4 linked regions of the Alligator mississippiensis genome follow. The protein of the gene in region 2 interacts with the protein of the main gene of each other region in a biochemical or structural test. Links are inferred from orthologs where the notes say so. Each region holds a gene or a part of one and is shown on either strand. Other genes may lie near its edges.

Region 1 (7,914 bases), on a different chromosome or scaffold from region 2:
AGCCTGGACAGTCAGACAGCTCGCAGTTTTGGGGCAGAGCAGATTCTGGATGCATTACCTAAAATTACGCTTCAACTCCTTAGAAATAGCAAGCACTCGCCCTCAAAGTGTCTAGGTTTTTTTTAAAAGGCACCTCAAATGACCAGTTGCTTCCTGACAAGATACTTGGTTGTATGTATATAAAGACAGAGAAAAGCTCATCATTGACATCAGTTTTTAAATAGGAAATCAAGGAGTCCCTGTTAGCCATCTAAGTGTTTCATTACTTCTATCGATTGAAAAGAGCATTTCAAAGGGCAACACACATCTGCTTATTCAAGAGCTTCACAGACAGCAAAATTACCCGAATAAGTGTATGGCTTACAGCAGGGAAGGGCACCGGGAGGATGAAAGCTGCAGATAAATAGGGCTGTGGCATTAAACAACATTTGTGTTCCTCTCACAGAAATCCTGCCATTAAGCGGTACCTGCTTTCAAAGGACCTCCTTGAAGGTAACCTTCCCCCCAACTCCCCCTTCTCAAAAGGGATTCAAGCACTTCAGTGACTTCGAGTCGTAAGGTCAGACCCAAAAAGGCACTGTGGTGCCCAAATCCTACAAATTTCAATGAGGCCTTGAGCACTTCTCAAAGATTCACACTCAGGCTATGAGCAGAAATAACTCGTAACCGCTTTAAGAAGAGGGCACACTAGCTAAGATAATAAAACTGTTGCATTTGCAGCCATACAACAGAGCTTAAAACAAATCAAATCAAATCACTGCAACTGTAACCTAGAATAAAACAGGGCTAGAGTTGAAAGTATTCTGCAACATCGGTATCCCTGTAAAATCCTACGCGGACATCACTTAGTACCAATAAAACAATTATGCTCCACTACAGTCCGTGCATCTGAACTTCCCTCCACCACCCTACACACAGCTTAAATCCTTAAAACATTAAAGAAAAGAGGCTGGGCTCGGGCCGTAACCCCAAATAAAATGCTTCCTAGGTGTTTGCAAAGCACCCAGCACAGCTGAACTCCAGTCTTGGCTAGAGCAACAGCCAGATCGTGTGCGGTACTGGTAGGCCGCAGCCCTGTTGTGCTAGGTGCCGAATGAGCATGCTGCGAGCTACAAGGTCTGGATCAAAAGCTTACAAGCCAACCGGCCAGCACGCTGGCAGCTGGAGCAGACACGATCAGGAGACTGAGGTGGCTTTACAACCTTGGTGACGCCGAGAGGTTAGAAGGCAGCATGCTCTGCTCCTATCCACACCGGAGACGACAGATCCCAGCCTGCGGGGCCATCGAGCCAGCTCTTCCCGCGAGCACTAAAGGTGCACGAGGATTTTCACAAGCACTGCAAAGAATGCACTCAGCAACGCCACAGCAGAAATGGAAGCAGGGGGGAGCCGGCATTTTGGTGTCAGGATAGGAAGTCTCGATACACAGCAAGGAGCGGAGGGGCTCGTGACTGCGGTTCAGTCAGCAAAGAACTGAGACTGGGGTTTGATCTTTCGGACCCGCTCTGAATTTTGCACTGGGTTGGTACCGAAATGCAAGTCAGTTATGCAATTACAACCACGCTTCGGCAATTTGCATGCGAGCCCGAGGAGCTTGTAACATTAAAAAAAAGTAAAAATACTTTGAAGTGCTTTAAGTTCACCGACTGAAAAGCACCAAGAGCAGAGGTGTAGCAGCTGCCCCAACAGGTATTTCGCCCATTATGCAAATGGCTCAGCTAGGGGACAAAGAGCAAGCGACTTGCTCAAGGTCACACAGCAGCCAAGCGGCTATCACCACTCCCAAGCCCTGCGCTGCTCAGACGCCTTCTCCGCAGAGGACAAGGCACGCTGCTTCATGGAGCAGCTGTACCATGCTCCAGCAGGTCACATGCTCTCTCCTTCCCATTTCACCGCCCGGCTCCTGCGGCTAGGGCTCAGAGTAGATGATTCACAGACACAAAACAAACAGGAGACGTGAAGTTAGCCTCTTTTCCTATCACTTTCCCCAGCAACAGGTCCTTTCCTTTCCCCAGAAGCAAAGTCCACAGGCCTTTTGATAACACCGGCCAGACATCAGCAAGCCCAACGCCTTCCAAACAAACCAGGCTGGCCCTTGCAGCGTTGAAAAGTCAGTGCTGCCATCACTCTCGCACCCTGCGGTCTTCCTGAACACGTGGCCAGCAGAGAAACATGTGATTTAGGATATCGGATAGCAAAGCACCCACGAAAAGACAGGCCCTTAGGACACATCTCGCAGACCCCTCATCGTACGCCCTCAACTCGGAGCCGGCGCGCGTCTCTACCTCCCGCCGACAGAAGTTCAACTTGCAACTCGAACGAAACAACTCCCCCCGGGCAGCCAAGCCGCTCGAGTGTTGCCGAGCCGGCTTTGCACATCCTCCAGCATTACGCCAGCCTTCGAGGGAGGCAGAGGTGGTGCAAGGACGTGAGAGGCGCTAGCTAATTTGCAGCCTGTCGGCGCCCAGAGGGTGCCGTCCTGCCCGCGCCGTGCAAACACGGGCGAGTCTTTACTCGCGCAGCCCCGGCGTTCGGTGGGGTTGCATCACCGCCGAAAGGGCGCCTGTAGCCCAGGCGTAGGGTTTCCTCCACGAAGGAGCCGTTCGCACGCGGTCGTGGAGGCGGCGCTCACGCGGCGCCGCTGCCTGGGCTGAGCATCTACCAGGGACCCCTGGGCCCGCTCCTTTCTTGGGGAGTCTGGGGAGGGGGATCCCCACGCCTTGCTGCGGGTCTGGGGGGCCAGGAGGAGCCCCATCCCCCCAGAGGGTGGGCAAGGGGGCTCACTTAGCTCATGCACCCGCAGCCAAAGCAACGGGGATGGGTGTGGGGGGGTGACCGTGACCTTGACCGCCCCCAGCGCCAGCGGGGAGGGGAAACGGCGCAACCCTGCCCCGGCGGCGGTACTCACGGTCCGTGCGGTGCTCTTCCCCCGTGCCGTGCCGCGCCGCGCCGCGCCCCGCCCCCGCTCCGTGCCCACGTGCCGCCCGGCCGAGCCCCGCCGAACTCTGAGACATTCGCCCGCGGCACAAGGTTCCACTCGCCCCGCCCCTCTCGCGAGAACGCCGCCTCGCGCGAGACTCGGGCCCGCCCCCGCTGAGCTGGGGGTGGGGGGGAGGGGAGTGTGTGCGCATGCGCCCCGCACTGCCCGTCTCCTGGCGGGGTGGGAGTGCCCCCATCCCCCCCCCCCAGCAGCCCCCCGCGAGGGCAAATGTCACTTACTCGATTGCAAGACGACCCCATTTACCAGGAGAAGGGGGTGCTCCATGTCCTCCCTTTGCCCACCCCCACCTTGCCCTTGATCTACGCCCCAGCGGGGGCCGCAGGAGGGTTGGCGTAAGGATGCAACCTGCGGTGGTGGACACAGGAATGAAAGGCGTGCCTTTTTATCGCACGCTTTCCAGCTCTGGATGCACCTTTTTCTGGCGCGATCGGTACTTTGCGTGGGCAACGTTAGGCGGTCTGAATGCATTGCGGGGTTAACTGTATAATACTTGTAACCTGTATTGTAACTCTCCAGGTGTTTGTAACAATTATAACACTGTGACCTGTAGAGTTACAAGTATCTGTAACACTTGCGAGCCGTATAACACTGTAACTGTAGAGGGGGGTACGGGAGGGTCACACAAGCAAATCCAGGCTCTGTCGGCCCTGCTCAAACCGTACCGAACGCTGTCCAGTTTGCGGATAGGTTTTCAAACTGGCTTTTAACTTCTTCCTGCCTGAGAAGAGCAAAGCCTATGAATCGGGTTTGCACGCGCGTGACAGTGCTGACATCGCGCGGCTTTCCCCGGCCCGCTGGAAAGGATCTCGAGGCGTCCTGGTTCAAAACCACTGAGCTACGCACCCGGTCAAGTCACCCTCTGGTCCTGACACGGAGCTGGTCCCTACTGCAGGAGCGCTCAGCAACGTCTCGGCACGTCGCGCAAAGCGTTAGGCTGCGCGTGCCTGCAAGCTGCTGCTCGGGGAAGTCAGGATTGCAGCGTCTCTCTCTCGTCCCCGCTCTCGGCACGCTCCGTGGGAGGAGTAGGGGAAACCTCAAAGGAAAATCCATGTTCAGCAAGCCAGTACTCGGTGTGGCCAGGCCCTGTACTGCAGAAGGATGCACACTCCCTTTTCCTCTCGTAACCCGCCAGCGGTGATAAGTTGCACTGGGACAGGATGGCGGCATTTCCCCCTGGCACTGAGTGTATTGAAACAGCAGCGACACGACGACCGTCATCTATAAAGGACTTCCACAGGGAGAAAGGCACGTGAGGATTGCTGCTTAGCCTTTTGTCTAAGATCCAGTATAACGGGCCCTGAGCTCCCAGGCCTGTAGGTCTGGCACTTGCATGTAGGATCCTGGCCTGGTTGAAGATCCGTGAATATGTATAGACATCGTTACTGAGCTTTGCTCATTTGGCTTGGGGATTTAATCGGCTCTTGGATTTGGACTGAGACTGGAATACATTTTAATAGTAATAACAATCACGACCAACAACGGCCCTGTGGGGATTGTGGTGTTTTATGCTGAAAAGGCAGCCTGGCTCGCTGTCTTATCACGCCAGAACAGTGCTCAGATCAGGGTCCTGCTGCGAGGTTTGCCTTGCCTGACCTCGGGCAAGTCACTTCTCTCTGCTTTAGTTTCCTCTGTAGGAAAAAAAGGTAGAGATCCCACTCCTCTGTCAAGTGCTTTTGAGTTCAGGGGATGTAAAGCACCACCTAAGAGTTAAACCGCAGTAATGTTGGTTTGTTGATTTTACTTTTTTTAGCTTCAGGCCAGTTTGTTTCCATTAAGTAATGTCCCCTTATACCGGTAACATCCAGGGCAACAAAACCATCTTTACCTTTCAAAGGCTTTCAAGATGAGAGGAAAATTATGCTATGTTGAAAATGTAGAGGGAAAAATGTGGTCTGAGCACAAGCTGGAGGTCACAGCCCTGGCATGTATGTCCTGGATTCGAAATCTAGCTCGGTCTCCTTTTAGACACGTTACAGCTCAGGGGTGCTCAGCCCCCAGCCCGTAGGCTAGATCCGGCTCCTGGTGCGGTGTCATCCAGCCTCGGGGGCTCTCCACAAACCCAACATTTGGTGGCAGGGAAGGAGTGGTGTAGTGGAATAGTTAAGGGTCATCTTATGTAGTTCAGATCAGGGTAGGTAAAATATGGCCCGCAGGTGAGGTTCGGCTAGCTAAGGGATTTTATTTGGTTTAGATTATGGTTGTACGGGATGGTTTATGAGCCTCCCTCAGGCAGGGGTTGGACTAGGTGGCCTCTGGAGGTCCCTGCCAGCCCAACTTTTCTATGATACTGTGCCCCTGTGCTCTTGCGCGGAGGCGCAGCATGGACCACCAGGGCCTGGTCCCAGTTCACGAGGGGGGGTGCCTATCCCAGTGCACAGGGTCAGCACCAGACCCCAGGGCCCTATCCCGCCGTGCATATGACAACCGAGGCCCTGTGGGGCTCGATCCAGCCCATGGACCAGCACTGCGCCACTCATCTGGCCTGTGGGGCCAAAAGGTTGAGCACCTCTCTTCTAGCTCAAACAGAAATCATGGGCTTGATACAGAATTGGTTGGGGGGGATTCCTGCTGTGCATTATGCAGGAGGGCAGATCCGACGATCCTTTTGGTTCCTTCACACCTTAACCTAAGTGAACGTCTTAATCTGTGCATGGTCTGGGATATATCGCACGCTCTCTGACTCAGCTCCCATGGCCGTCATATAGAAATAGGGATACCAATGTCTCTAAAAATGCCACAGCGTACTGTGAAGAGATCACACTTAGCGTCCCTCTGTCATGAAAGCAGCCGTAAACAATAAAATGTTGCTGGCAGCCATTAACTGGATCTCCCGGTTGTGATCTTAGTAGCACTGTGCCAACAAGCACTGATCTTTGCCAGAAGCTGCTGAAAAGCTGGACCACCTCTGCTTTAGATGGCTCTGTGTAAAAAGGGTATATTCGATCAGGCCTTAATAGCATAAAAAGAGTCTAAGGGTCACGTTTCTTTGTGAATATGGGCAAAGCTAGACGTGCCATATGCTGGGGAAATTTGATGCAAAGGTCTAAGTCATTCAGCAGTTTGAGCAGCCTATCGGTTTGGAAGTGAAAGCGAGCACAGGGCATGGGGTTGAGCAACCTAGCCTGGGAGTGGGACTTTATGTTGGATTGCTGTTCATTGCGGTGTTAATAAAACCATGCACCCAGGCACGGGTGGCTTTGGACTCTATGTGGTGCATGGCCTGCATTTATGGAGGGGCTTGGAAGTGATGTGTTCTTGTGCCCCCCACTCCTAAATAACATAGAAAGCCTGCAGTGCTAAGTAAGGGGTCATTGCAGTGAGAGTCGCTCTCACAGGTGGCATGCTTTAAGGTGCAAACTTGCAATTCATTCCCCACTACTGTCAAGGAACAGATGTCTTGGAGCCTTTACGAACAGCAAGAAAAATGGGGATAAACATAACAGCGTAAATTCGGGGAGCTCGGGCAGCAGGGGTTAAAGGACGATGTTCCCCGGGGCAAGCAAGACCAGACAGTTGTGAGCAGGGCAGGTGGTATCATTCTGTAACAAGGTCTCTGGCTGTGCAAAGTTGAAGCCTTTTTCTGGGCAATGGAGATCGTTGTGCCAACAGTAGCGTTCTGCTTCGCCCCTCTCAGCGTTGCATAAACACTGGTTCAGCATCGCAGGGAGCAGCAATAAGAACGAGTGCCAGCAAAACACTGGCAATTAATAGTCTTAACCAAGGTGATGCTTAAACGGGCTTTGACCAGGGTACAAGCCGGTGTCTGTTCAAACTGGAGCTCCAGGAGCCACTATCGCCACAGCCACTGCATCTAGGAAGCAAAGCTTTCCCAATGACAATGCTGCTGCTACGCTGTGAGCAACGAAAAAGAAAATGCTTTCACTTATTGGATGTCTCTGCCTGGCAAGAGGTGCCTGTGGGTTTGCAAAGAGACTTGGACGACTTGTAGCCTGTTCTGCTGCCCAGAAGGGAGAGCTGGGGTACGCTGCAGGGGAGCAGCGTGCAAGGAAGAAAGCTCGGGCACTTTAAGAGACAGCAGAAATGAGCTGACTAGGGAAGCAGAGAGGAGGCCTGAACATTTTCAAGCAAAGCAGTACAGCTTCACAGCAAAATAGGAGCTGGCTAAATACAGTCAGCATCCAATTTGACAGACTCTGGGACCCTGGGGCCACCGGTTTGAATCCCAGCAGGGCAGTCTTGGATCCCTCTCAAGCACTCACATAGGAGTTTGGAGTACTTTCCATGTGTGCTTCTTTCCAGGGTGGCTTTGCTTTAAGTCAAATCAATTTAAACCATGATTTAAATCATGATTTCATTCACTGGTCAGGAAGTCTCGATTTAATCATTTTCTACAAAAAAGTGCATTCTTGTTCTTTGATATAACCCAAATGCATATTATTCACAACTCGGAGATAGATGTAGGCTTCATTTTTAGAAAGTACGTGCTATACATTTTAAAGGAGTGATTTATTTGGATATTTTTTTCAGATCCCTTTTGCAGCCACATCAGAAACCTGAATGGTGACATGTGCATTGTTTTAGTTAACTAAAACAACAAACTTATGCATTTTGGGTATAGTTCTTCAACAACAAACGTATATAATTATTTAAAAAAAACAAGCATATGTATTTTCAAAGTTTTAACTATTTTGGTTATAAATGTGAATGTGTTTTTTAACAAAACTTAAATGGAGTATTTCAGCCAGGTCAACATGAGAAATTTGCTGGGTTGTGCAGCAAACTCAGGCTTTACCTTCCTCTTCTTGTTTATTCAAACTCAAAAAGAAAGACAAGACCTAGGGCCAGATTTTCAAAGGCATCTAAAGGGATTTAGGTGCTTAAAGATGCAGATAAATCCCACTGTAGATCCCACTAGAAAAGGACCTGAGCAGGTTATACTTCTTTCTCCAGGG
Region 2 (7,689 bases):
GCTGCTGGTCACTACTTTAACCTCATTCACTCAATTCTCCTCCCTCTTCTTCAATGTCTGCTGTCACTTTATTTTTCTATTGTCCCAAAACAGAATATCCTACTCCACAAAATATTAAAAAATTAAAATTCAACATTCAAAAAGCCAGAACTCACAACACTTGCAAGCCATCATGCCACATTAAATGCTTTCCCTCCCAATTCCCTGTCTTAACTATACATTTCTCAAAGAAGAACTTTGTCTGTCTTTGTTTTTACAGTGGCTATCCTAAGAGGACCATGATAGTCTCTAAACATTGCCCTAAGTGGCTATTTCAAAGCCTGTCCTGAAGTTTAATATGCTGCTGTTTCATTAACATCTGAAAGAGCTAGAACATAGTGCAAAAACAAATTGCATCCAGAGATGACACTTAATAACTGGTATAAAAGCACTCTCACAATATCATTAAGAGAGCCATAAACCTTTACTCACATTGTATGTCAAAGAGATATGACCTCAAAGCAAGGCAACTGAACATTGCAATGAGTGGGAGTGGAGAGTGTATTACTTTTTAAAGGCATAAATATCCAGAAAATGCTTTTTTTCTCCCTTTTTTTTTTTAGTTAACTCAAGATTAAGAATAACATTAAGTATCAAATAGTTTATATTTCAATCTCTGATTTTATTAAAAAGTGCTATTCAAAAAGCTCTGAAAGCATTTTGGTTTTCTTTGAAGCTCAACAAAAACCTTTTTAAACATTGCATTTTCCAACCCAAACAAAGCACTACACATCACTGCAGAACAAAAATAAAACTATAAGGGTATCAGTTCCAGTGTTAAGGAGCAGCTAAGTGTTTACCACCTCTCCCCCACATACAGCATCAATGTAAATGGGGAAAAAGATATGAAATGTTCAGAATGTCTGCCCTTTAAGGATAAAAATAAGGAAGTTGTTTCAGCACATTTTTGTAATAGTGGGTTACTGCAACCAAACTGCACAGCAAAACCATCAAGCACCCAGATCATTCTCAAAGAAAAACTAAGTGTTGGGTTTATAACTATTCTTGAATGACCACATTGCGGCTCAGGACTGCACAAACTGCACAGCAGCATGAGACCCTTCCAGCCGCATACATAGCATGACGTGCATTTCATGTTTCGATACCTCAAGTCGTGCCCTAACAACCATTCTGGCTGTCCCTGGGCCACTCCCCACACCTTCGCTTTCTTTTCTTCCAGGAAGAACCAGCGAGCTGAAGCTCCCAACACCAGACCCAACCCCCTCTCCCCCTGCTCATTTCCTAGTGATAATGGTGCAGGACTGAGCCCTCAACAGTGCCACTTCTAACGCCGTGGACAACACAAGCCAAAGGAGAGCAACAAAAGTAAAGGGGGGGTAGCAAAGAACGCTAGGAAACAAATAGCAGGAGCCGCCCCAGCTTCACCTGAAGCTAGCAACAGGAAAGGCTACCCGGGACCTCTTGAGATGATACTGACAACATTTCACAGCAGCAGGATGTTGGCTGCCATACCTCTCCTGTGGCTGGTAAAACAAACGAGGCTGTTAGGCGTGTGGTGTCAGGGTTGACAGTAGTCTCGCACAGAGTTCAGACCATGGTTTGGACAGATCCTGCCGCAGGCAGAAGGACTACATGACCTCTGGAGGTCGCTTCCAGCCCCACTCCTCTACGGCTCTGGGACCAAGTTCTCTTTCACGCAGCGTGTCATTGAAGCGTGGCACTCGCTGCCACCCGCTGCGAACTCCCAGTTCAGCCACGTTCAAACTGGGATCGGACACGCGCTTGGAGGACAGGGGCACTGGTCACTATGGAGCACCAAGGGAAGGGCACGGCCACTGAACCAGAACTTCCTCCACTGTAAACGCTGGAGGCTGCAAGCGAGACCCTGGTCAGACCCAGGTCGCTCTCCCTTGCAGCCTCCACTCGGCCGCCACGGGACAGGGCTTTTAACACATCGGAGGAAAAATGGGCCCCGGCCCGCCAAGGAAACTATAAACACCCTGCAGTACTGGGGGCCACTAGTGCCGTGTTACTGAATGCTTGGGACACACAATCGTGAGAACGGGGACAGGAAGGGGGGTCAGAGGTTCGTTACCAGAGCGCCGGGGGAGGGGGGGGCACGGGGCAGAGCACACCGGACAGCGCCCGCTGGCCCTCGAACGAGCGCCAGGAGCCAGCAGACGCTGCCCAGCGATTCTCCGCTCGGAGCCGGGAGCAAAGCAGAGCGAGGAAAGCAGCCCCGCGGTCCCCAGGGGCCCCCCGGCCACCACCTCCTTCCCGGCCGGGAGGGTCGACCAGCAGGTCCCGGCCGGTGGACAGGGAGCATGACACCGGAGAGGTGAGGGGGACAGGCCCGTCGCTCCACCGGTGAGACGCGTGGGCCGGGCCCGGCCCGCCAGGTCTCGCTGGGCTCCGCGAGTCGGGGCAGTTGCGGGGAGAGGGGACAGCCGAGCGCCCCGACCAGCGCAGCGCAGCGCAGCGCGACACTGCCCGGCCCCGCGCTCGCGCCGGCCACAGCCGCCGGCCGGGGTAGCACGGGGCTCGATGGAAGCCGGGCCGGGCCGGGCCGGCGGCGAGGGGCTCCCGCACCCGCCCCCTCCCCCTCCCGGCCCTTACGCTCGAAGTCGGAGTCGTCGGAGTCGGAGTCGGCGCCGCGCTCGGGCTCGCCCTCGCCGTTGGACTCGGTCTGCATGGGCTCCCCGTCGAAGTTGACGCCCTTGCGGCCGGCGGCCGCGGCCTGCTGCTGGTCGCGGGCATCCCTCAGGCGGCTGAAGTAGTCGGCGGCGAAGCCGAGCAGGTCGGGCGGCCGGTGCCGCAGCACTTCCACCGTGTAGCCCTGCAGCAGCTCGGTCAGGCCCGGCGGGATCTCGATGCTCATGGTGGAGCGGAGCCGGGCCGGGCCGGGCCGCCTCTCCCCCTGCGGCTGGCTGGGCGCGGGCGCGGGCGCGGGCTCGGCCTCCCTCCTCGCGCCGACTGACTCCCGCCGCCGCCGCCGTCACGCGAGCCGCGCCGGGGGGAGGGGCGCGAGGCGCATGCTCCGCGGGCCGCAGGGGGCGGGGCCCGGGAAGGGGCGGGGCCGCGCATGCGGCCGAGCTGGGTGGAATGACAGGGCTGGTCGTGCGCATGCGTCACAGTGCGAGAAGAGCCTAGGGGCGCGGCGAGCTGGGAGGGAGGGGGAGCAGAGCGCATGCGCATTTCGGTGTGGGGAAAGGGGCGGGGCATGAGGCGGCCAGTGCGCCTGCACAGGGCTGCGGCTAAAAGCGCGGGAACTGGTCGCGTGGTTGGTGGTTGATGAGGGTGGTCTGTTAAGTTTCCTCGCGGCCCCGGGCCCAGCTGGGCCCCTTCAGTTCTGCGCATGTTCCTTGGTGCTAGTATGTCTATGCTGCCTGCAGTGCTCCGCCTGCCAGTGTCCTGCTGTGGCTGGAGGCACTGCAGCTTGCTTCCTTGCCTCTAAAACGGCCACTGCCACCTGCTTCTGGAGGTGTCGAGGCAGCGTGTCCATGTCCTCGACCGTGCGGCTGTGGGTGCACATGGCCCGTGCTTGTGGGCCCGCTGGCTTATTCCAACTGCACCCTGCTGTTTCATTTTTTTTAAATGAGCCTTGACAGTTAAAAGGAAAGCTTTGGACAAGTGAGACCCTCAGGTGCTGGAGGCAGCAGAATGGCTTTGGCCAGAGGCGGTTCAGACCCCGCGCAGAACAGCCGGTGCCGATTCTGAAGCCTAATGCTGATTTCTTAAATAGTGAGTCGTCTTCGTTTCTTATCCCTTCACTGAAAACATCCGGCAGGTTGTGAATGTGGGGGTTGTAGATGAATTGAGCTCCACTACAGTACCATTCCTCTTGACGGCAGCGAAGGCACTGTGCTGTTTGCAAAACCCAGTGTGACATTTGGTAGAAACGTAAACGTGAGTCTGCCCTTGTGGAAGGCCTTTGCACAGCACTTCAGAAATAAGTGAATCCCTCTTCAACTGAAGTCAGCAATGGCAACCTGCGTGTTGTCGGTGCGCTGGTGACAACACACTCGGCCTTTAACTTTTGAACAACGTGGGGCAGAAGACTTGGCAGGTGCAGTGAGGTTGATCCTAGCATTCAGATCTCATAGAAGTATTCCAATAGCAATATAACCAGGAATGGATTGTGCCCGTCCACTTATGATATAACTGTACTGAAGTGAAGTCGCAACAGAGAGATTCTTGGCCAAATATATGTTGCGTTATTCCATCCATCCTGATTAAAGGCTACAAATATTTCTAAAGAGCAATTGGAATGATTTAGAAATGTATTCTGCAACTGTATATCTAGAAATATTTTTGGCTGTCATTAATGATCTTTTTAGTAATAGTAGTAGTAGTATTTTGGAACATGGAATAAAGCTGACCCCTTTATACACTAGCAAACAGAATATTACTGATGGAAACTCAAACTTATTTTAAGATATTGTAGGCACCTCGGGTAGAGTAGAGGCTGAGAGGCTTCTACATCTACAGTTTTCAACCGGTGGTCCACAGACCCCTCGAGGTCTGCAGACCTATATATAAGGGGTCTGTGAAAGACTATTATAATCAACCAAAGTATGTGAGTACTCACACTTACAACTCAAAGGGGTTCACACCTCCATTCAAAATTTTTGTAGAGGTCCGCAAATGGAAAAAAAGGCTAAATCAACTGATCCAATTCAGTGTTTTTGGATTGTTTCGGGTATCCAAATCTTCGCATGAAGGTAAAAAAAAAAAATCATAATTCCCTTACATTTTGTTGTTCTTATTATTAGCTTATCTATAACAATATGCTAACCTGTATGACATGTTTGAAAAGGTCTCCAAAATGTCTGAAAAGGCTGTGCTGACTGACTACTTGACCTTGAGGGGAATTGGTATACAGGGAATTGTGGACTATCATTTTCCTTACAGTAGACAGCAATATACTTTCAATACCTTGTGACCCCCCTGATTACCTGTTGGATCCAGTCAACTGAGAAACATTGATTTACATCAGGGTGTCAAACATACAGCTTGTGGGCCAGATCTGGCCTGTGGATCTTCCGTCTGGCCCACTGGGCTACTGGCTGGCCACTGGAAGTTAGGGGGCAGAGCCTACTGCAGAATCTAGAGCCCTCTGTCCCTGCTGGGGTGGCTGTCAGCGGTGAGCTTGGCGTACCACCCCTGCCCCTGGACTTGCGCTCCTGAATCTGCTGCCACCGCCAAACCTCTCACTGCCACTATGGCAGCTCTCCTGCCCCAGGCTGGATCCGATCTGCAAAGAACCCCGTGGTCTGGATCCAGCCCAGCGCCCCAGATGAGTTTGACATCTCTGATCTAGATGAATGAGCATAATTTTGGGAGCCAGTGGGTTTTGATGCTTTGTCTTATATCTGCCAATTACTTACTATGTGGCCTCTGATAAAGCCCTTACTTTGCCTTAAATGTCTCCTTCCTTAAATGCTCTATTCTCTGAGTTACAGAATTCTTATTTCTGTTCTTTGTGCAAGGCATACACACGTAGCACTGTTATCTATTTATATGCACACTAAAGGCCTGGCAGACATTCAACCAGTGACTACCCTCTGCAAGGTGCGGCACTTGTCTTCCCTTATAACTTGAGCGTATTGAGGAGTTACAGTATGGGAAGAAAATTGGCCTGTTCACCTATGACTAAGAAGGAGAGCAGGTTGAGTGATGTCAATGTAAATACTTTAATTTTGTTCTGATTTTGCTTCAACAATAGTAGGGAACAGAAATCAACAAGTGTTTGAATTATGAGCTTCACACAAATTCAGTGTTATCCAAAGCTATTTATGATGTGTATTAGCTTTTGTTTGCTCCTCCTGCGAATAGGTCCCGTCTCATCCAGATGGCTCTTAACCCATCCCCATGCAGCTAAATGCATTTTACTTATCATTAGAGTTGTGCAAAAAGCACAAGTGAGGACACCAGATCTCCATATTAACAGTTTTTGCTGGTTTTCTTTTCCATTGAATGAGAGAGAAGCTAATTAGAAATCTGCTGGTATTTATACTGCACCTAGTGTTTCTGTTACAAAATTTATTTTTATAATGCTTCTTCCATAATTTGGTGTAAGGTAAGGGTTTTTTGTACAAATATTAAATATAATTAATTAAAAAATAAGATGTAACAAATCTCAGAAATCTGAGAGCAACTGTTTCACTACACCCTTTATGGCACCAACCAGCAGCAGAATACTTTTCTGGCATATCTTTGCCATATCCCATCATCTCTCCTCACTGATACCAGAACATATTGCACCAGCCTAGTAACTATACCTACACTGCTAATATAAGGGTTCAAGGCAAGTGGCCTTGAGTAAGAAGAACAAGAGGCTGCTTTGGGTTCCCTGCAAAATTACACAAAGTACATGAGGTTTTTCAATGAGACTCTCTGTCCTTTGACACTTATGTGCCAGGAGTGCTACTATTAAGAAGGTTGGATGAGGAGAATTGGACACACTGAGAGAGGAAGGAACATTGGCGGATAAGAGCAGAGAAAGAAAAGGAATCTGCTGTTCCAAGGGAGTAACATTTTTTCTCTTTCCAAGTCTCTTGCACAGCAGCCAGCCACCTGGCTATCCCCTGCTGTTGGCACTAGTCAGCTCTTGTACTAGCTCTGAATGTTTGTTGATAATTATAACTCATTTGTCCCTGTGTATATAAATCTGGTTATTTATATGAAAAATGTGCTGCCGGTAAATATTGTTAAGGTTCTGAAAAGCTATGTTGTGTTAGCCTTCTGACTGTTCAAGTGTCCATACAAAGCAACTCAGCCTCAGACAGAGAACATTCTGTAAAGGAGACTAGCACATAAACATTAGGTCCGTTTAGCTTCTGTCTGAAGGTCAGTGGACAAAGCGGTGAGCATCAAGGCCACATGAAACACATTTTATTCCATAGTTTATTTCATTTCATTGTACTTTTTTTTTATTTGTGGATGTGGGACTGATAGCAAGCTTGCACAAGAGACTTGTCCATGGTCAAGTAGTACTGCCCACTCTGCAAATTTTTAAAGCTTAAATAACCTCTCTTAGTTTATATTAGATTTTTGTCATTAGAAGAATCCATATGGTGAGAGAGGATGCCAAAGCTGAAAAATCAAGAACCAAGAAGTTGGCAAATACCCTTGCAATCTTAATTTTGCCTCTATTACATGCAAGGAGGTATTTAAAGGTATCTTTGCACATGATCTCATTGTGCACTGAATAGCACAATGAGATAATGCAGAGTTGTGTAATTATTTCAGCTGTTGTCTATGGTTCCCCTAGTCAAACATTTTTCTACAGCAATATTTCTGAGGTCTTTTTAATACCTGAATACACTTTCTTCCATCTTGTTCCTAATTTCAGACCCCCACACTTTAACATCTCTCTCTTCTTTTCCCAACTCACCGACTTGCTCTTTCTGACATTTGTTATTGAGATGCATTACTCAGGCTTCCAATAAGAGAAGCAAGGTTACAAGGCAAGTAGCAAAATAATCTATGTTGCCTTTTACTTGGAAAATAATCAGTTTAACCATTCAGACTTCAAAAGCAAGTAAATACATACAGTTAAATCAGTTACTTTGGATAATGCTATCAGCAATAGTCAGAGCACAGCAGCCCCAAAGTTATATACAGCACCTGTACCTTTGTCAGATTTGATTTGGTGCCTCTCAGCTCACTGGAAGTGTCTGCATCCCA
Region 3 (7,322 bases), on a different chromosome or scaffold from region 2:
TGGCCCTGTGCAGGACTGGAGTCTGCACAGGACTGGCACCACAGACACCCATTTTTAAGAAGTTGATTGTAATTTTAAAACCACAACAGTTTGACTGACAGAAGCCCTCTCACACTTCTGGCAGGAATTCTCCACAACTGCAAATATGACCATTGCTTTCTTTTAATATGATACACCTGACCTTTACTGGAAATGTCTGCATAAGAAAATACAAGCGACCAAGTGAACTTAGTTAGAAAACTAAATAACTGTGCAAAGCTGGATTGTTTACTTTCTTGCTCCATTCAACCAGCCTAAATTATAAGGTGGATTAATAGATCTTTGCTTGCTTGAGTCAGACACTGGAAATGACTAATATTTTTCCCTGACTTTTCCAGATGGACCTTAACTGCAATGCCTCCTCTCTTTTTCTGAGAAACGATTTAAGTTTTGCTGAGCCTGCTAATTATATAGGATACTTTCAGACAGGAGACACAGGAGGAATACCTTGCATTTCACACCATTAACCTATCCTGGTGAATCAATCTAACATTTGAGAATAGCCAACCATGATTACGTTTAAAATATTTAAATAGAGGAACAAATGTTCCCCAAAAGTTTGTATGGATAATTGTACTGATATGAAGATCCTTTGAGCAACTTTTAGTGTGTGATACAATATGAACTCAAACAAGACAGAAATTGAGTATTTTTTTGAGGTTCAAGTTGAATTATTTCAAACCTTTGTAATTCACAGGTTATGTTAATCCTTAACAGCAGCACTCAGCACAATCTGTGATGTAGCCTGTACAGAATATAAGGATCCAAGTTGCCTACTATTCTTCACATGTGAGAGTTATTTATGCCAGTGGGTAATGAAAAAAAAATATAGGGTAATGATTTTTGCATCCCCTCTGGTTTCCTGATTATGAATAACTATGACAAGTGCCAGACAATGGAAAAGTTTGTTGAGATAGTGCCATTCTTCAGCTCGCTCTTGCAATACAGAATATATTCAGAGCACAGAAATTTGGTTTACCATTAGTTATTCAGGGTCTGAATGAGGCATCAGAATTATATTCTACAGTTTTTTATATGAAGATAAAGTCATTTTCAAAATCCTCACACATGACCGCTATATCTTTTGTGGGTATGCAACATTCACCCTTCACATTCAGGATCCAAAGCCTCAAAGCCAAATTTGCTAGGAAGGATTAGTTCTTTAATGGCTTCAGGCACTACTGCTTGCACTTTGGGCGGGGGAATTCTTAATGTTTATACCTGTTGGAAACTTTGGACCAGTGTTTTAAAAACATTTCAGCTGTTTACCTTTAAACCATAATAACCTTTTCCCCACACATGATCTTTTCCAGGAAAACTTTTAAAAGACAAAAGTTTATGTCCAGTTATTTTAAGTATGTATGGACATATTAGTAGATTAATAGACCTAAGAAAAACAACTTAGTATAGCAGAAGCAGCAGCCATTCTCTTGCCCCGCCTACAAAGGAAATATATAATCCATCTGTGGCAGCTGTAGTAAAACACAACATCTGTTGATCATTGACAACACTCTGGAAGGGACTCCCAAAATCCAAGCAGGCTTTGGCATTTTTTCTGACTTTTCACTTCAGACCTGAGACACACAGTCACTTGCACATATTGTGCTGTCTGACTACAAGGCTTTGCGGTGTTAGCTTGTCAACCAGGTGAAAAAAAACAACCCCAAAAACTGAATGTCATAAGGAACAAGGACAAACCTATGTGGGTTCAGTGAATAAACAATGCTTGTAGCAATGTGGGGATTCTGATGTCACTTGCACTCCTAATTAAAGAGCAGTTCTATTTTCTATTGGCAGCACAGCTACATTTTTGAAAGACTTGTATCAGATCCTTTCACTGGTCTCATTGGCCATAGCTCCATTGAAGTCAAAAGGAGCCCTGCCATTTGCATCAGCTGAGATTCTAGCTTTGTATATGTCAGGTTTTAAACACAGGGGGGAAAAAAATAAAGTTTTGATGAATGCCGATCAAAATGCAACACTTTTTTACCCCCTGCCCCACCCCGATTCCTTCAATGGATGTATATCATCTGAAGATTTGGCTCAAAGCATTGGGTGGTATTAAGATAAGCAATGGAGGTTGCTGTCTCAAACTGGCAAATCAGCTAGTCTGGTGATTAGTGATAACCCACTGTTTTGATTTTTTTTTTTTTTAAAGCAAAATAAGAAAGATTTTCTTTATACAAAAAGCCACCCTAAGGTTGATCCTTCTTGTTTAACTTCTTAATCTGTTTAGCTAAAGCTCGCATGGTACCTTAATACCTTTTTAGCAGAATGCTGATGAGCTCCCATCTCCCCCTCCCCAGGTATTTCTCCTTTTTAATCATGTGCCATCCTGCACTCACATTTTTCACACGTCAGCTAAACACACTCCCATCAGAACTCTCATTACTGGCAAAAATCACATAGAACATCTTTAACCATTAGTTTCCTGAAGAGGGGGAAAAAAACCAACAAAAAACCTCTATGCAAAACTTCTCTAAAGCCATGCTGCCTAAATACTGCCCAGCTACTGTGCTGGAATTCCTGGACCCTTCAGTAACTCACAGCTTCCCATTCACAGACAAAAGAGCAAGTAAAATGAAGCTGACTTACTGCTATGGCTTGCAGCCTTTCCTTGTGCAATTCTGCCTCCGCCATCCTGGAGAAAAGGACACAGGGAAAGAGAGAAAATACACACTGCAGTCACCAAGGGAAACTGAGTTACACGCCACAGAGTATCTGCAAAGAAAGCTGTGTTCCTGTGTAGTAGTCAAGCACTTCTGGAGGCACTGCAGACTGGCTCACGGTAGGATCATTTTAGGCACTGGACCAGTGCCTGCCTGCTTGTCTTCCAGCTGTACAGCTAACTGCATTTCATTGCTGCTTCTGTGTGCTGTTGCTGTCACACAAGCCATGTATGTGCTCTGAAAGCAGCTGAGTGCAGGGATAGCTCTCATGGCTATAATTTTTTGGCTTGACATCTCAGCTCATTTGCTCCTCCTATGGAGTGCTGGGTCACAACAGGAGTTGACATCAGTAGCATGCATAGTAATCAGAACCTGCATGAATGCAGTAGAGGAGGGAGAGGGCTGTACTGCAGCATGTCCTTAATGAGGAACTCTAGAAAAACAGGGGTAGGGGGAGCACAGGGATTTCAGCAGAGGTCAAAGAGTTTCACACTGGAAGCTGAAAAACTAAACTGATTTGGCCAGAGAAAAGGACATAGCTCAGGGGACTAGAGGGGAACAATACACAGTTGTGCATTCAGACTACAGCACAATAGTTTGCAACTATAATAATACAGCACATACAAAGAGTCACTAAAGTGGTGGCTCTCCAGGAGGATACTTCAGAGGGGAAGGAAAACGGAGCCCACAGATTGCTCATACTTCTTACATACTGAAGTGCTACATTAAAGGAGTGTCAAGGTTGCAAAGCCAAGCAATCAGAAATGGAAGTATATCATTATGTAATTAAAGACCACACCACAATGTATACCCACAATGGGGATCACAGATGCAGTCTTAATTCTGGCATTTCCTCATTTTTGAGGGCTTGACTTGCAACATTTTAATGCAGAAAGAGAGCGAGAGAGAAAGAATGTGTATTCATCATCACACAACTAGCTCATCAGCAGGGAGACTTCAAATACTCATATAGACCAATGGTTCTAAACCTTTTGTTTTTTGCCAGGACCCGTTTGTAAACATCAATGGCCAATCCTGACTCAGTGCTCCCCACTCCCAACCCTCTGCCCCTTCCTCCAGGCCCCAGCCCCCGCAGTGTGTTGGGCATGGAGGCCCCAAGCAGCTCCATGAGGGCTGGAACACTGACAGTCTGCAAGAGAAAAGCCACCGTTTCCCACGTTTTTCTCCTTTAAAGGACAATCTATTTTTAAAGTTTGTTAACGACCCTTTCATATATTCTTGCGACCCATTTTTGGGTCACAACCCATGGCTTGAGAAATGCTGGTATAGACGACTTTCACATTAGCTGACAGAGAACTGGCAGCAGTAGTAGGCTGTCACCCACTTGGTGTACCAGGACAAAAGAGTGGCTGGAAACCACCAAGTTTCAGACATACATGCCACTGGCAAAGGCATGCCTATATTCAGGAATCTTCAGTTCCCTTGAGTTTCTATAGAGCCAAACCAGCCTGCCCTGCTCCCAGTCCTGCCTCTAACCCGCCCTTCAAGTCCAAGTCTCCCAGTCAGGTCTTGTCCAAGTCCTAATCTTTACCCCCATGCTTAGGTCACAATGCTAGTGAGCTTCATTGATCCTTGAATCATTCTCCTTACACCGTTGAGGGCAATTCTCTTATACCTTGTTCCGACTGAGCTATTTCTCCCCACTACCCTGCCTCCCAAAGCTCTATTACAAAGCCCATGGGCTCCCACTGTTGGCTTTTCAGTCTAATCTCCTCTAATGTTGCCAGTGGCTCCTTGTTCTAATCCAGTGTTGCTCAATCCCTCTGTGGTCTGGATAAGGGGTGCAGAGCTAACCCATGGGTCAGATCCTGCAGGTGGAATCCAACAATGAACTAGATCTAGCACGGAGTTGGCATGTAGAGTCAGACAGCAGGTACGACTTCATGTACCAGCATGATCCAGTGTGCAGGACTGCATCATCCAGCCCATAAGTCTCCCCACAGATCCGGAAATGTGGTGGTGGGGGTAGTATTAATTGCTGTGAACTACCCTCTGGCAAAATGAATGGGAGAAATGAGGCAATAAACTGTTGAATGGAGCTGGCAAGGAATTATCCCCAGCGAGGAGTTAGCATCTGGCTCCAATTACAAATGGCACACATGGTGGAGCCTAAACAGACTGACAGTGGGTCTTGGCCAATGCAAATCTCTTATGAGATCACGGGGCCTCTATGTTGAGCTAAAGTTAATTTGTCTTTATGTACTCTTGATATTGCCTTTATAATATTCTTTATTATTATTTTATAACCAATATCCATTTTAGTTTGCTCAAATAACTGTAACTTAGTCTTAGTTGAGACTCCATTTTGATTTTTACATTGCTTAGTGTAAGTGTAACAGTCATTTTGTTTTGTGGTTGTGTAGGTTAAATATAGTATCAGAGAAGTGGTGTGTATGCAAGGCCTGTGGTATGTCTGGGATATTTGAAAAGAAGTAATGAAAGAATAAACAGTACATGTGGAAATGCATATGTTAAGACAGTCTGTCTTGCACCTGTAGCTAGAAGGATAGAAATAGCCTTCTGCGATTTAACAACCAAAGGTTACAACAATGTCCAAGATCAACAGTTAAGAATTACAAAATACAAGCTAATGGTTTTGTTCCAATGGCTGAAAAAATTGCTGACAACAGATAAAAAAAAATTGTAGACTACAGAGACAGAAGAGTCTGTCAATCATAATATTGTAATCAAAGAGGAGGATCATTTCGAGAGTGAGGAGATGATGCAGTAGGACCCATAGACTTGTATGGGGAACAATCACTATAAAGATGGACAAGAACAAAGAGGCTTTGGGTCTGTCCTGCACAGAAGCAGCATCAGCATCAGAACGCGTCCAACAAGACCTGGCTTTATTCTCATGGTTAACTTAGCTGGCCAAGCTAACCCAAGCATCTTAAGAACTGGTAATATCTTGATATTTGCAGGACTGCCTGTCCATCTCCTTTTGTATGTATGTGAATAAATGGATATGTATGTGTCAGTGTATGAAGAGGAAACAGTATCTTTATGTTGTTTTTTTTCATTTCTTTTATTTGTCTTATGTTTTCAATAAATGTGGCATTGTGCCTTATCCCCCGATAAGATTCCCGCTTGTTTTTAATTCACATTGTACGCCCTGTGCGTACAACATCTATACAACCGACCAACGCATTTGTCAGAAGCAAGCCATGGATCATCTTCTGAGATGCCCTATAGCACCACAAGGCACCCCACAACATTTGGGAATACCAAAATCAGCAGCAGTGGCCTGTGCAGAAGAGAGAGCGCAGACCACATGTAAAATTTGGACTGGGGAAACAATGATGATGATGAATTACTGTGGCTTCCAGGACCAGAGGTTGAGCACTACTATTCTATTCTATTCCCACTGTTCCTCCAGTTCCTCCCTCTGCCTTTTCACATGTGAAGGTTTGGCTTCCATTCCCTCTGAATTCCAGCAATTCACGTTTCTCCAAAGTGCTAGGACCAGTGCCGGGGGCACTGATAGCAAAGGACAGATTGTCTCCCTGCTCCGAGTTGTGGTGATCAGTCCCATAACAATGAAGAGGAGCAGTTGCATGGAAAGTCCTGCAGCTATGTGCTAAAGCATGACCAGCATGGATGGAATCTTTGGTTAATTTAGCACCAAACTCTTAGTAAATCTCTGCTGAGCATGTCTGAACTGAGAATCCTCAAAGATTTATTATCTGATGATTTTGAATAAATTGTCAGGGAAACCGCCAAAGGCACATACATATTCCTTTATACCAGGTCAATACTCTACTGCAGTGGTTGGCAACTGTTTGTAAAGGCAGGCTGGAATGACTGCTTGGGTCCAAGCTGAGACAGTGCTAGGACCTGGCCACTGCCATCACCCCCACTTCTCCAGTGCCTGGCAAGATGTCAAATGAAGCTCCATGTTGCCTGGCTGCAGTGCCAGGGTAAATCATCCAGCTGCTGGAATGCCATTGAAGTCCCCCCTTGGCTCTGTGGGCCAGATCCAGTCTATGGCTCACAGGTTGCTGACCCCTCCATTGTATTTCAAGTCCCTTCCCCACACTGTGGAAGTGCAAGAGCTTCTAAATGAAGCAGCTGTATGACTGTTTTAAAAACAGAAACAAAAAACATCAGTTTTTCTTCTCTCGCTCATTCCTGGAAGTGTCCAAACTATTTTTGCTGAAACTGTTCAAAAAAATTTCAGCCTGAGGGTGACACCAAGCCTGGAAAATTTCAGCTCATAAAATCTTGCAAAACTGTAGGCACTCAAAAAAACCCCAAAAAATGTTTTACAAAGGAAAGTTTTGGGTAACCTGAAGTATAGGTAGCACTATCAGCAATACCTACAGTGTAGTTTTGTGTCTGTTGGTACATGTGCCTACTGCACATGTCTAACCTCATTTATTCCTTTGGTTTTTCCCCAGAGTTGACTTCCAATTACTACCTATGACCACTTATATTCTGTATCAGTGGGGACCAACCTTTTTGGCAAGTGTACCACAAATTAGCACCCTCCTCCTTTCCCTTGAGTGCCACTCCAATTACTTTCCCTTACCTAATCTGCTGCTATGTTTTCTGCTTCTTGCTTTCTGCTCCCCGCCTGGTCTTATGCTCTGC
Region 4 (7,983 bases), on a different chromosome or scaffold from region 2:
TGTATCATCTGCTAAAACACAATTTCCACAGTTCTCCCATACCAGAAATAACCCAAAGTAAAGAAACACCCCAGATTAAGAAGGGATATTGTTTTTAGCTCCCATCTACAACAGCAGAAGACCTTCAATGCTCCAGAAATGGAAGACAGTAAAAGATGAGATGGCTAAGGAAACCAGCACACAGAACCCTGGAACCTGCAGCAGTGATTCATTTGGCAGTTTTAGTGAAGTTTCTAGCCATAGCCCCACTACTGCTACTATCAGAAAACAGTGAATGGATGTGTCAGCTAATGTGACACTCATCTCACACCCTAAAGAAAAGCCAAGCCTAGGTACTTCTAATGCCCGTCACCATAGTACCAGAACACCTCTCAGCCCAACGCAGTTACCTCTGCAAAGAAGGGAAATGCTATTATTTTCAGTTTACAAAACAGACAAGAGACAAAGACTAAATAATCAGCGCAGGATCACAGAGGAAGCCTCTGATGGAGCCAGGATTTAAATTTACACGTCCCAATCCCAGGACCATCCCTCAGCTGTCAAGGCAATATTTCTCAAACTTTTTAAAACAGAAGGTACCTCTCATTAGACTCAAGGAGCTTCTCAGAAAAAGCACTCCTCAACCAATTCTTAGCTTTCGTACTTTTTCAACTGCAGAAAAATACTAGAGGAATCCTTTCAACTCCTTTCTGACCTGTAAAACACCTGGAAAGACCACAACAAGTAAGAATGATTTTGATACTATGGATTCCTACTGGAAATCTCTGGGTTTATCTGGTGAATTGTGTATAGGTGTTTGTAAACCTAACAATGCTAATATTAAGCAGCATCACACAGTACCCGTAAAGGGATCTTGTGTCACCACAGGGTGTTGCAACACCTTAGTTGAAAATCACTGATTTAAAGGTGTCTCAAAATAGTACTGTACCCCAAATCACCAGCCACACAAAAAAAAAGTGGGTGTTGGCCAATCACATGTACGTAAGATCAGGCTATCTTTTGTTGCTGCCAAGCTGTGTATGCAAAGTACCAATACGACAAAACTGTTTTCAGCTACACAAAAAACACACTGCATAGTTTGTTGCATCAAGATTACCTGCAGGCACATGGACCCAGAAGCTTGCCTAGCATTTCCTCTGGGACAATCATTCTGTAACAGAGCATCCAACCAAAAAAGATGGTCCTGTACCTAAGCAGCATCCCCTGAAACTCCTGCCTGGTTTCAGCTCCCCTCTTTGCTGCAGAATGGTTGTATGACCTCAACCAAGTAACTTGTGAGTCAAGTTCCCATCCAGGAAGGGAAGAAAATCGTGTCCCCCTCACGACAACTTGACCGGAGTTAAGATCATCAGCCCCTGTGTGAATAGGAGTAATATCAAGGGACATGTCCTCCAGCGCGAAATTAATAAATCATTACCTTCCAAAAGGACTCTTCAGCCTAACTCACCCTAACAGGCCCACAATAAGCCAGTGTGTGCAAAACAACAAGAAGAATGTGGAGAGGGACCGAGTTCAAGCTTCAGTAGTTATTGTAAACAGAAACCACACCATTCTTGTCCCATCGCAGCTGATTATATTACGTGATCCTGGACCCACAGCACAAAAGGCACGCCTGCAACCCAGGACAACTGTCCAGACTTCGTTTATAGACGACATGCCTCTCATATTTCTACTGCATCACATATCTCAGCATGTATTTTGAGTTTCACGGTTGCCTTTAAGACTGTAAGCAAGCAACATATGCTACCGATTGGTTTACCGCGGCATCTATATTCTGTTTACCACCTCAATACCTGCACCTCAGTAAAGGGATGCAATACCACAGCAGATGGCATCGCTGCAGAACCACAACATTGCAAAGGCTTGAATGTAAAGAAGAAAAGCATAAGGGAGACGCCGTGCAGGACACTGGAGAAGAAGCAATTAGAGAGGTCAGTAACACTGATCTCTTGCTAATCCCAACTCCTTTGTATGACCTGCAGGGATAACATGGCTACAGAAAGGTGGATTAATAAACCCTGGTGGCTTAAGAGTTCGGGCGCAGCAGCACTTTCGCTGCGACAGCGCCTCAGACCGCTCTCAAAAGAAAAAGTTACTTCTGAGCAGCTGCAGCCAAGCCTGGAGGAAAAGCGAAGGGGGAGCCCGTCTGGGAGCAGCGACCCCGCGCGACAACCCCGCGGCCTGTCCGGACCCGAATGCTGATGCGGTTCGCAACCTTTTCACATTCGAGGCCCCCTTCCCAGACCGGAGCCACCCCTCGCTAGAAGCGAGACACCTCAAGGAAAACGCCAGCTCTCCTCACTTTTTTTTTTCAACTACAGACAAAAGAGCGATGTTTTCCTGCTGCCCAGAACAGGGAAAGCCCCCAGCAGAGCAGGATGTTTTTCACAGTGGGGGATCCCACCCCAGACCTCCCTTGCGCCGCAGCCCCCTCGAAAGGCAATCAAGCCGCCCCTGTTCGGGGGCCGCAGCGCCTGCTGGAGAGGCACCGCCTGGGCCAGACGGTCCCGGCCGGGTCCCGCTGACTTTCTGGGCTCGACCCCAGATCCCGATGTTGAGCAACGCCCGTCTTCTCCGGTCGGAGGAAGCTGCATCTTCTGGGGGGCGGCCGAGCACCCCCAGCGCCGCGGCCGAGCCGGGGGCTGCAGGGGACGGGGCCGAGCCCGGGCAGCAGGACACGGGGGCACCCGCTGCGCCCCAGCCGGGCGACCCCAAACCCCCTCGACCCCAAGAACTCCCTGACCCTAAACCCCCTCGACCCCAAGCACCCCTGGACTCCTGACCCCAGGAACCCCTTGACCCTACACCCCCTGACACCAAGCACAACGTGACCCTAAACACCCCTCACACTAAAGACCCCAAACCCAGCCCAACTTTGCCCAACTCCCGCCCCTCACGCGGCGCGGCGCGGCGCCCTCCTCACCGGGCCGGGGCTGCTGCGGGCGGCGGCGGCGCCGTGTCCGGACCAGACTCGCGCGCTGCCTCCTCCCTCCGCCCTCCCAGCGAGTCCGCGCCACCGCGCATGCGCCGACCGGCCGGAGTGAAGGGGGCGGAATTGGCCCCGCCCCGAACGTTGGGGAGCCCGCTGCCATTGCTTCACTGAGGTGCCAGGAGGCGGCGCGGCAGCCAATAGGAGCCGAGCGGTGGAAGGGGGCGGGTTTCGAATGCGGGGAGCACGTGGAGGGGGGAGGCCGCGCTGCCCGGGGCGCTGCCTCCTCCGCCGACTTGCAACTATTGTGTGCGCAGGAAGCAGCAGCCGGTGTCCGGGAGCCGCGCCTGGCTTGTCCCGGGGTACAGACACCTGCCCCGGGGTGCAGCCCCTCCAGATCACAGCTGGCCTTCGCCCCACGCAGCTGCCCCTTCCCTGTGCAGCGGCTGCTTGGCGCCTCCTGGCAGGGTGGAAATTGCAGGCTTCCCCGTGCAATGAATTGACACAAAGCAGCAGCTGAGGCAGGAGGAGCCTGCAGGCGGCTACCCCTGTCCCTGCCCGGTAGCACCGTGTCCCCTGGGTAGCGCAGAGTAGAGCGGCTGGGAGGTTGCTCCGCTCCGTGCCATCTGCAGCAGTGTTTCTCAACCCAGGGGCGACGTGTAGGGGGTGCATGCGGGTGCACGTGCACCCTCTGAGTGTGGCGGTGCACCCCCTGCAAAAAGCCCACCCACCCGCCAGCGGTGTCTGCGGGAGCTCCCGGCTATAGCCACCATGCTCCCAACACCGGCCGCCGGGGACATAGTTTCACAGTAGCTAGGGTCAGGAGGGACCTGAACAGATCATCTAGCCTGACCCCCTGCCACAGGCAGGAATGGAGGCTGGGTTCACGAGACCCCAGACAGGTGATCGTCCAACCTCCTCTTGAATTTGCCCAAGGTAGGGGGGAGGACGACTTCCCTGGGAAGTTGGTTCCAGATTTTGGCCACCCTAACTGTAAAATATTGCCTTCTGATCTCTAACCTAAACCTATTCTCCATCAGCTTATGACCATTGTTCCTTAGTACCCAAGGTGGTGCTGGAGAGAAAAGGGCTCTACCTATTTGTTGTTGAATACGTCGTTCATGTCGCAACCCAAAAGTGGGTCGCAAGACTATATGAAAGAGTCTTGAATGAACTTTAAAAAGGATCAGCAAACTTTAAAAATGGGTTCTACTTTAAAGGAGAAAAATGTGGGAAATTGGGTTTTCCCTTGCAGGCTGGGAGAGTTTCTATCTGCAAGGGGCTGCTTGGGGCCCCCCCATGCCCCACACACACACCCTGCCCCACAGCCACCTCCTGCCCCAGACACTAGGGGCTGGGGAGGGGCAGCCATCAATGTTTACAAATGGGACCTGGTACAAAATAGGTGAAGAAGCACTGATCTAGAACAGCCCTGAACAGGTTTGGTCCTTGGGTCCAGAATCACATGCAGGCATTGCCTACCAGGCCTTGCAGCAGGTGCTTAGTGAGCAGGGAGGCTGAGAGGGGTCCACCTCTGCCTGCATTAGCTGTATGCCATTAAGGTATTTTCTTGATGACAAAGGCTGGGAAGCTGCATCTGCGCAGTAGCTTTATGCCTCCTTTTGCACTGCTGGACCTGGACAAGTACGACCTGAATAAGGCATCAGCCCTATGCTCTATCTGACGCTTCTCAGGCGCAAGGTAAAATATCATAAAAGAGTGGTCTCTTGTCTATGGGAGGGGAATCCTCCTGGAGACCACTCTACTTTTTCAACTGCCTTAATCCTGAAAATTTTACCTGTTTCTTACTCAGGTCCTCCTCATCAAGGGAAATGCCCTCTTGGAATTAAAAAAAAATCTAAGCCGGGGGGAGGGACAAAGATCTCAGTTTTTTGTCCCAGAAAGTTCTTACATTGGACAAACATTTGAATCCAGAGTTATCGGGTGACATCCACGGTCCATGAAGCCTCTGCGACAATTTTCAGGGTTGGAAGGGAAAAACAGGAGAGCTTACCAGACAGCCCCAGTGAGGTGAAATGGAGTTTTGCCACTGGGGAGAAACCTTCCCCTCTATATGTTTCCCTGAAAAATGTATTAACTTACAGTGAGACTACAGTGGCCTAGGTACCAAATGCACAGAGGTGCTTCATGGACTTGGAAGACACAAGGACACACAGGGTTGATATCTGCCTCCCTTTGAGAAGGGATATGCTCCACATACTCATCTCTCTAGACCAGAGGTGGGCAAAATGCGGCCCGGGGGTCAGATGCAGCCTGCCAGGCCATACTATCCAGCCTGCGGGGCCTCAAGACTTTGGAAAATTAATATTTATCTGCCCTGAGCTGCCTGTTATGCGGCCCTTGATGGCTTGCCAAAACTCAGTAAGTGGCCCTCTGCCCAAAATAATTGCCCACCCCTGCTCTAGACTGATCTAGTAGGTTTTCGGTCACTTTTATCAGCTCTGGGGCAAGGGAAGTGATGGGACATTACAGCTCTTTTTCCTTACCTCACTCAATTGAGTTACCACTGGCACTGACATGCAATTTAAGGATGCAGAAGTAGTGCTCCCTCTGTGTTTACTGGCAGGCAGAGGGAATGTGGTTTAATGGAACCGACTGAGGGTGAAGTGTGATTTTTTTATTTATCCTTCAAATAAAGGAGGGGAATTTTGTGTGTAGCTCAGGATCACGTTCAAAGCTATAAAAGCTGAACGTATAAGTCCCAAGCAGTCCACATTTCCTCTGGGACAGAAACAGCACACGTTCTCTGACATCAATAGTGATGCTTTGGGGCTCTCTACAGCAAAGGAGCACGTAAGAGCATTTTTCAAACAGGCGACTCCCTGGAACAGATGAAACCGCAGTGCTAGGCCTACACTAACAAGCTTGCTCTCTTGAGAGATGCCAGCACCACAATAATAAAGCACCTCAAAAGAGCAAGCTTCCAGGCACATGCACCCAGCACTGCGCTAAGGTGCCTACATTTCACCTGCTTCAGGATGTGCCATGCCTTGATGGGTGGATATGCCCCACATATTCATCTCTATAGTGCAGTGGTTTTACAAACAACTTAAAATATCTTGCTTTTCATGAATAACTTTTAGCTTCTTTCCCAGCCTGTGAAGAGAGATTCACTGCCTGTCTTCCAAGACCTGGGGACTCTCCTTCTGATTCCACCAAGAGTCTTCAAGTGAATCTCATCACCTGCCTTTTACCTTGATGTTTCTCCGTGTTTGAGCTACTCCTGTTTATTCAGCTGCTTTGTCTGATTATTCATAACAGGGTGCTTCTGGGCCAGAGTTCAATGGACACAAGCAGCTTTTTAAAACTGTAGATTTCTTTGTATATGAAATCAAGACTTTTCCCCATTAAAGCTTATCTTTAGGTGTACAGGGCCCTTTGTGCTACCATTCTAACCTTCCCCCCTCTAGCATTTATAAACCATCTCTTTCTTGTGTTTCTGGCACACACACTTCATCAAAGAAGCTGATCCTGTGCAAATAAAAGTGGCATGCATGTACCACAGCATTCTCAAATATACCCTGCATAAGGGAGCCCTGCAAAGAGAAAAAAAGCATCCACTTTCTTGGATTTATTGACACACTGGAAGTAGGCTTCATCTCTCTATTTCTGCAAAGATTCTCACTACGCTCCTGTTGGCCAAGCATGCTTGATTGCTCCTACTGTGCAAATAGAGGAAACTAGCAGACCTAAGGCTCACAGCACACTTCCCATCTCTTAGTCCTACTAACATTGTGCAGTGTTGCTTCATTTAGAGCAGTGTTCGGCGTAACGCACCTAAAAGTGTTGCTTACCAGATACAATACTGGCTTGCGTCTCAGGACACCTGGGTTCTATTCCTATGTCTGCCACTAGGCTGCCTGATGACTTTAGGTAAATGATTTCACCTTGCTGTGCCTCAGCTTCTCCTGCTATGAAATGGGGATAATGGCAACACTGACCACCTTTGTCCAATGTTTTCAGAAGTACTGATGAAAAATGCTCCTTGTGGGCTACATATTCCTATGGTGATCTACTAGCTTTGGGCTGGATCCCACTTCTGTTTAAATCAAAAGCAAAACATCATTTAAATGGGAGACCAAGTAGAACAAGGGTTAAAATTCTTGTGCAATGCATGAGCACAAGAATGTGTTCAAGCCCTTGGGGTCTTGAACACATTGGCTGCTTTATAGCCTGCAGTGTTCCATACCCAGACATGAAAAACACCCTCTTCCAAATGAAACTATAGCTGTTGGGCAAATTATGGGGAGGTACCCAAGTTTAAGTCTGATGAGGCTAAGGGGGTTAATACTCGTACTCTTGTGAAAAAGGATCTGCAGGTTCTTTAACAGCTCCCAGGAAACCTGCATTATTAGATTTCATCTAGGAGCCAGGATGTTGCCCAGCCACTTTATTGACTCAGAGGAAAGAGTGCCACCAAGTGAAACCCTGTTCCTGTAGCACCTGTGTCCCATGGAGGTCGGCCCTCCCCATGTAAAACACATGACCTTGCAGTTCAATAGCAACAAAATGGCATGGTAACTGATGCCAGCTGCCTACACTTTCCATAGCATGTATAAGAACAATCTATTTTTATCCTTGAAGATTTCTATCATGGGAGTATTTCTACTTTAGTACTCAGATACTCAGCACACAGTACCTAATCAGCCCTCCACTTTCCGCACGTTCACATACACACCCTCTGAAAATACTTTCAAAGACTACACTGAGCACAAGGAGACAAAGTTGGTAAGGTGGCTGGCGAGATTTGCCCCTAATCATAACCATCTCTACAACAAAGTCCACGGTGACAGAGAAGATCAGCCGCCTCCACCCTGACTAGCAGTACTGTACGCTGAGAACTGTAACTCTCCAGTGAGCCAATTGCAGGGATTTTGTGATGTGGGTAAATTAGAGGAGGGCATGTGGTCTCTGAGGGTCTCAGGCTGCTTTGCAAACTTCATTGCTAGGTAGGTTAGTAGCATGGCCAATTTTCTGGCAGACAGAGAGAAGCTAAGTAAGCCACCTAAGATCATGCAGTAGATCAGGGAATC

Evidence for each region.
Region 1: the proteins of PRKAR2A (region 2) and AKAP1 form a complex in vitro, tested with the Homo sapiens proteins (2 studies listed by BioGRID, with this or other methods). The link is inferred for Alligator mississippiensis from reciprocal best matches to the Homo sapiens genes PRKAR2A and AKAP1.
Region 3: the proteins of PRKAR2A (region 2) and PALM2AKAP2 form a complex in vitro, tested with the Homo sapiens proteins (2 studies listed by BioGRID, with this or other methods). The link is inferred for Alligator mississippiensis from reciprocal best matches to the Homo sapiens genes PRKAR2A and PALM2AKAP2.
Region 4: the proteins of PRKAR2A (region 2) and AKAP13 form a complex in vitro, tested with the Homo sapiens proteins (3 studies listed by BioGRID, with this or other methods). The link is inferred for Alligator mississippiensis from reciprocal best matches to the Homo sapiens genes PRKAR2A and AKAP13.

Annotation. Positions count from the first base shown.
Region 1 is NC_081837.1:6,728,501-6,736,414, forward strand, and holds the start of AKAP1 (A-kinase anchor protein 1, mitochondrial), read right to left. Parts: upstream 3,013-7,914; 5' UTR 2,909-3,012; intron 1-2,908.
Region 2 is NC_081835.1:755,602-763,290, reverse strand, and holds the start of PRKAR2A (cAMP-dependent protein kinase type II-alpha regulatory subunit), read right to left. Parts: upstream 3,005-7,689; 5' UTR 2,879-3,004; coding exon 2,617-2,878; intron 1-2,616. UniProt on the Homo sapiens protein: Regulatory subunit of the cAMP-dependent protein kinases involved in cAMP signaling in cells. Type II regulatory chains mediate membrane association by binding to anchoring proteins, including the MAP2 kinase.
Region 3 is NC_081826.1:163,833,599-163,840,920, reverse strand, and holds the start of PALM2AKAP2 (A-kinase anchor protein 2), read right to left. Parts: upstream 3,003-7,322; 5' UTR 2,680-3,002; coding exon 2,635-2,679; intron 1-2,634. UniProt on the Homo sapiens protein: Binds to regulatory subunit (RII) of protein kinase A. May be involved in establishing polarity in signaling systems or in integrating PKA-RII isoforms with downstream effectors to capture, amplify and focus diffuse, trans-cellular signals carried by cAMP.
Region 4 is NC_081834.1:12,429,446-12,437,428, reverse strand, and holds the start of AKAP13 (A-kinase anchor protein 13), read right to left. Parts: upstream 3,005-7,983; 5' UTR 2,924-3,004; intron 1-2,923. UniProt on the Homo sapiens protein: Scaffold protein that plays an important role in assembling signaling complexes downstream of several types of G protein-coupled receptors.